2 linked regions of the Saccharomyces cerevisiae S288C genome follow. The gene in region 1 interacts genetically with each later gene. Each region holds a gene or a part of one and is shown on either strand. Other genes may lie near its edges.

The links.
Region 2: mutations in YJL163C (region 1) and RUB1 together harm fitness more than expected from each alone (negative genetic interaction), as found in Saccharomyces cerevisiae (2 studies listed by BioGRID).

What each region holds. Positions count from the first base shown.
Region 1 is NC_001142.9:111,126-115,242, forward strand, and holds YJL163C (uncharacterized protein), read right to left. Parts: upstream 2,209-4,117; coding exon 541-2,208; downstream 1-540. Other genes in the region: cAMP-dependent protein kinase catalytic subunit TPK1, read right to left, coding at 1-34; JJJ2 (Jjj2p), read right to left, coding at 2,753-4,117.
Region 2 is NC_001136.10:732,899-735,617, reverse strand, and holds RUB1 (NEDD8 family protein RUB1), read left to right. Parts: upstream 1-1,693; coding exon 1,694-1,842; intron 1,843-1,915; coding exon 1,916-2,000; downstream 2,001-2,719. Other genes in the region: DOP1 (Dop1p), read left to right, coding at 1-717; MTQ2 (S-adenosylmethionine-dependent methyltransferase), read right to left, coding at 815-1,480. UniProt on the Saccharomyces cerevisiae protein: Ubiquitin-like protein modifier that can be covalently attached to lysine residues of target proteins. Activated by the dimeric UBA3-ULA1 E1 enzyme and conjugated by the E2 UBC12 to substrate proteins.

The sequences.
Region 1 (4,117 bases):
TTTGACCACCTCCATTTTGTTCTTCAGTCGACATACCCAAAAAAAAGATTCTTTCACACAATCAGCTATAATTCATGCACTGCTTAAGCTAAGAGAACACTACTTTCTGTGCTACCTTTGAAGCCGATTGAAAATGCAAGCAAGCCAAACAAAAAAAAAAGTATAGGGTCAGATTCCTTAGCTTTATCAAATTAAAACTCTTAGATGGATACAATCGCAGCTTCTATGATGTTTCGCACCTAAAAATTCTCACGTTTTTCTGGCCAGAGATAGTAGATGAATATTTTTCAAGTTTTCAAGTAAAGGGATACGATATCCCCCTTGATTATTATGTCAAACTTTTACCAGATCCCGCCTTCCCTCCCCCCTAATAGCGCGAAAAAAAAGATCATCATGATTACGTAGAAAAAACCACAACAACACTATGTTGAATCATGTCATAAGCAAAGTCGTTAGGACACTGGCTTTGCAAGAACGAATAGCAGCACAGCTTCGAACAAGTAACTAAAAATATGTGGTGTATACGGTATGTAAATGTTTTTAAGGCCCGTCCAGCGGAGGGTTCTTGTAAATTCTTAGGAAGAATGTCAACAAGATGGCAACAATACTTGTTGAGAACGGTATATACATAAACAGACTAGGATTAACGGAGACAGTACTTCCATATAGCTTAAGGAGGATGGGAGGGATGACAAGCATAACACAGGACCTTACCAAAGCCATTGCTCCGAACATCTCGCCTGTATGTTTCTTAGAGGTGTACTTTATGATACCAGACTGCAAAGTTGGTGAACAAAACGCGCTCAATGCCTGTAAAAGAGCGAATATTATCATGGATGTGGGAGTTTTCTCGCCAAATCGTATCATGACAAAGAGACTCAGTGTTATAACAATCATAGAAAACTGTATGCAAAAGATGTCTATCTTGTCTATCGAATGGTTCAAGTGTTGATAAATCCTCTTTAGCGTGTACAGTAATGTAGGTGATACGACCAGTAACACAACACCTCTTCCGATACCCAGTATCGATATGAAATAACCTAGCTCTACTGCATGCCATTTGTACTCATATGTAGAAAACAAAATCAATGCTGGCATACACGATGTCGTTCCACAGACAAATAGTATATCGAGTACAATGAGTAATATTACGGTATGCCGGGGTACTAAAGACCCTGCACTGTCGGGCTTCAGCCATAACTTTTTTACTGGAGCGAGCAGGTCCATTAACCTCATTATTTGAAATTTTCCATAAGTAACGGATTGGTAATTTCTTGCATCGTCAGAACCCGATTGTGATCTTAGTTTCTCTCTCCTCTTTGTATAAGTTGATTGTGAATGGGCCATTTGGGTTTCATGGCGCGGTTCCACCATGATTGTCTCACATATTATAAGCGCCAGTATAACAAACGCTATTGATGTGTAAATAGGAATGAACCCGTTTCCATGAGTCCACTTCACCAGAAAGGACCCAAACATTGGGCCTACGCCCATAGTGGCATATATACAACTCATCATTATTCCTATTGTCACCATTCTGTGCTCAGTTTTCACTATATCTGAAACGTAACTATTTCCATTCGCCACTAGCGCAAACAAGCCACCGAATGATGGTACGATACACGCAGTAAGAACAATAGCCCATTTGTGATACTTCATTTTCGATGATAGGGTAAAGACGTGCGTAAGAAGCCCTATGACCCTGATGCCGCTCATGTATTTGAAAACACGCACTCTTCCTATTCTATCGGATAATTCTCCCCACTTACCAGCCATGAAAATACTGATTGCCCCTGCTATCATCATAGTGGATGAAGAAATGCTGGAAACTATTGTCTGTACAGCCACGGAATCATAATGTCCATTCTCATCTGAAATTCCTTCCGCTACCTTGTCCATCACCAACGGTATTGTAGCAGTCATAGAAATAGACTCCGCAATACAGATAATCATAACAAGGCCGTAAAGGCATAATAGTTTTCTACGTCCATGCTCTCCCTCAACGCTTTTGGCAACACTCAAAATACTGGGGGAGCGCCGGATAGAGTCATAGCTACTGTCCTGAGCTGTTTCATTAGTATCCAAATTTATTCCAGTACTGTCATTTTGACTAATGATTTCTTCCAAGGCGTTGATCCCAGCCGTTTCCAATAAATAGTCCATCTCATCTGAAGACATTAAACGAGTTGTTTCATCCTCGTTTGACATTGTTCTGCGCCTTTGCTTCGCACGGTTTGAAGATGTATACGTGAAATGCAAGAACTAGGGTTTGTATTCCTTATAAGTCTATTAGACTTCTTGCAGATCAGCCCTTCATCTTGTTGGTTTTTAGGAATCCCTTACCCTTTATTTTTTTTTTTTTTGATTTCGATTAAGGGCGGGAAATCATGATAAACTTCCACGGAACAACAATAAACGCTCGGCCAATGTTAGTAAGATACACTGTACTTACCTGATGATAATCCCATAGCACTTTCATTCACTTGGAAGCCAAACCAGTTTATAAGTACTTTTAAATTGCCAAGTGCACCCTTTGGTAATTTTTTTTTACTTTTACCATTTTCTGTAAGAATTTTCTATTTATTTCAGTAGTTTATTGAATTTCCATAACTAAATATATATTTAAGATATTAATAATTGAGACATGAAATGTACTGACTAGATACTTTTATATATTTTACATTATTCATTCAAATTATTTCCATCCTGGCGTAAGGACGACGGGTATATGCTCATTAAGAAGAGCGTTCGATTATACTTTACCGTCACATCTTTCGGAAAAAATTTTAATGACCTGCATCTGTCTTTCTTGTAAGATGTTCAATTTGTCCATTAAACTTTTATCAAATTCTAGGTATGTTTTCCAAACCATAATACTTTGCTTTTGGGTTAACATATCACTGAACTGCGTATCTGCTCTCAGGCGCTGTAATGATACTTGATGTATTGTTTCTTTAAGTTTGTTACATTGGTTATTAAACAGCTGCACGTTAAGCTTCAATGTTTCAAGGTCAGCCACTGCATCAAATTCCGGAATCTCTGGTATTTCCAAATCTAAGATCTCGGGTGTAATTCCACACTGTTCTAGTAACGGTTTGAATTTTGCACGATTACTTTCTGCTTGGGCAAAAGTTCCACCTTGTTCGTGACTCTGAGTGGTCTTCGGCTTTTTAAAAAGATTGATTGATTCTAACGAGTCATTAATTGCATCCATCATAAAATAATCTTTTTCTCTTGGTAAAGATTGGAACAATTCTTCTAAAGATATATCATCTTTCTTTCTCCTTTTCATCCCTTTAGGTTCTTTGATAGATAAATTTTCTATGTCGATTGAGTCGCTGTGATTTTTATCACCTATTTCATCCCGACGAAACAGCAAGTCTTTATTTCGATCGTCTACATTGCTTATATTGAGTTTTTCAATAATGTCTCTCAAAATGTTCCATCCTTCATTGGCACTAGTTGTTGCAGGTATCTCTTTAATGGGAGAAACTGACTTTCTAAACTGATTCTTGCATTCGAATTTACTTCTTGCGTAATGTCGATACTCATGATTGTAAAAAGGAGATTGCAAATTTGAATCATGGGATCCACTAGAAAAAGTACTGGTCTTGGGCAATTTAAATTGTTTGTGTCCCGTTTCTTCTTCGCCATTTTCCTCTGGAGAGACTCTGCTTTCCCTTTTCGGTTCTTTATTATTTTTTTTTTCTTCATCAGGACTGCTAGACTTCGACGTCATTCCATAATGTTGCTGCTGTTGCTGTTGTTGCTGCTGTTGCTGTTGTTGTTTTCCTGCTTCTTCTTCTTCTTCATGATCGCTTAGTGCTGATCCCAAACATGAATTTGGATCTTCAGAGTAAGATTTATGTGTGTACGCATTTTTACCCAATATTTCCCATATTTCTTGGAACTGAGAGTTCGTATCCATTTTACCGGCATCAGTCATTCTTACTTTTGAGGCTCCATTGGTTTCATGGAACAAAGAATCAATATCAGGACTTCCATGTTTCCTTTCCTTTTTGGATGAATAATAGTGGTTTCGTTGGTAGCTTTTTAAATTGAAGGACTTGAATATCGGAACCTTACTCTTAGAGCTTGAGGTCATTTTTTTGCCTAC
Region 2 (2,719 bases), on another chromosome or scaffold:
CGTTCAAGTGTGACTCCGACTTTAATCACGTTTAACTTAGGAAGCGATTCTGAAGTCGAGTACAAGTGCCAAAACCTTTTGAAAATATCGTACTTGTTGATGGTATCGCCAAATGACGCATATTTGTTGCACTTTTCCTCTTTAATAAGTTGCATTTTCCACTATTTGGTGTCCAAAGATATCAAGCTCAAGGGAAGCTGCTGGATCTTACTAAGGGTTTTACTTTTAAGATTTTCAGAGTCCCATTTCAATGACTATTGGTCTATGATCAGTTACTGTTTACAAACTAATTTGCAAGAATTTTATGAATCACTTCAAATACAGTCAGAAGTCGATCCACAAACAATATTGCAAGTATGTAAAACTTTGGATTTGCTACTCTTACTCAACATGGAAGGCTTCACCTCTACGAATGAGTGGATCTTTGTTATTGATACAATAAATTGCGTATATAAAACGAACTCATTCGTCGCGCTGGTAGATGAAATCGCAGAATTCAAAGATTACGAAATAACCAAAACTGATGATCTTGAATTACCGACAACTTTAAAAGATGGTCTCCCATTATTACGAGGCATTCACAAAATCGAGAGACACACGCAACTAAGAAGCTTCTTCCAGAATTTGAGTTATCTACATTATGAGAAAGTTTACGGACTAGGGTCAGTTGATTTATATGGTTGTGGTGAAGATCTCAAAAAAGATATTCTGTCATGAGCATAGCTATGAATTTTTCTTTATAAACCGAAATATAGTTATACGCTTTGAGTAAAGACACAGGTTATCAATTATAACGTGAAAGGTTTTGCAACTGTCACCTTGTAAAGCTGTACACACTGAGGACTTCCCATCCCGCTTTTCTCGTTTCAATAAGTTTCACATTCCATTTGTAAGTATCGACAAACCTCTTAATGACTTCTTTAGGCTTATTTCTTGCACAAAATAATATATATGCAACACCATCTGGAGAAAGAATTTGTTCTAATTGTCGTAGCAGTTTATCAGTAATCGCCATCCCGTCTTTTCCACCCAATAACGCTAAATCTAGCCATTGGTCTGCCTCCTCTCTTGATCCTGGGACATCTGGCACACATTCTGCTGGCACATATGGTGGGTTAAATATTAGGACATCAACCTGATTATTCCGAATACTGGAGTTTAAATCAGCTTGAATCACTTCTAAAAAAGAACTTTTACATGAATTTAACTTCGCAGTATCCAAAGTTGCTTCGAGCGCCCATGGGTTGATATCAACAGCTAAGTGGATGGAATTTTCCTGCGGTATTATTTTGTTTTGCATTAGAAATGTTGTGACGATACCTGATCCCGAACCAATTTCGCAAACGATGGCCAAACGATTACCAAATTTCTGTTTCAAAAAATCATGCTCTTTTTCCAAACAGTCCAGTATGAGGAAGCTATCCTCAGCAGGCTCATATACTTTATCGTAATCGCATTTTACATAAGGGGTCGGTAGCATACTTCACCTTTCTCACCCTGTGTTAAGTTTATCAATATTATATTTCAGAGTATAATTATATCAATATTTATATGAAATCAAATTCCGATGGCGTCTTCGGGAAGGCAAACGAACAACTTTTAGCTGAAAAACCAAAATTCTGTTATTCAAATGAAGTATTCCGACAGAGGAATAAATAAAGGAAGGTAATTAACTTCCTTACAGCCGTAACCGATGATTGTTAAAGTGAAGACACTGACTGGGAAGGAGATCTCTGTTGAGCTGAAGGAATCAGATCTCGTATATCACATCAAGGAACTTTTGGAGGAAAAAGAAGGGATTCCACCATCTCAACAAAGACTTATATTCCAGGGAAAACAAATGTATGTTCATTCAGTGGTTAATTATCTTTTAAGTTTATTTACGTTTTTGAGACCTTACTAACGACCAGGATAGTGATGATAAATTAACAGTAACGGATGCACATCTAGTAGAGGGAATGCAACTCCACTTGGTATTAACACTAAGAGGTGGTAACTAGAACCATTTTCCGTCATTTATGGAATTTTATCGAAGGTGTTCATTAGAAAAGAAGACAAAACGAACATAAGTTCACTTGGACTTTGGAAGGCTACCGCCCCCAATTTGTCAAAAAAAAAAATACATACAATTTAGTCTATAGAGTCTGTTATAATAAATTAATTGTTTTTAGACGAGAAATGTGAACTAAAACTGTTTAGTATCTATCAAATTATCCGTTATAGCATAGTACGGCTATATATGGTCTGATTGCTGGTCTCATATGACTTTATGGTTTAAATTTCATAAAGCTGGCCATTGCATGGTTCGCGCTGGAAAGAGAGGAAAAGCGTGGTGATAAAGAGCAAACCAAGCATACTGTTATATGCGATTACAGACTATCTGACCAAAAGACATATTTCGCCATTTCTTCTCAATCATGTCTTCCAGGGCAATTTTGTAAGCACGATTGGATGTCCTCTTGTAGTATACCGAATTTCTCATTAAGAAAAGCATCCTTTGCGCTACAACTTTATCAAGTGGAAGTATATACTAAACTCGGAGCATGCTTTTGCCAACGATATCAGTCTTAGCAAAGGGACTTCTAAGGACGTTATTGACGCCTGATTAATCTAATCAAATATAGGTTTGTCATTTTTTTAAACCGAATGGATTGACTTTTGTTTTCATCATAAGTATTACTCTCTGATAGGATCTCTGTGGTACGCTAAAATCTATCTG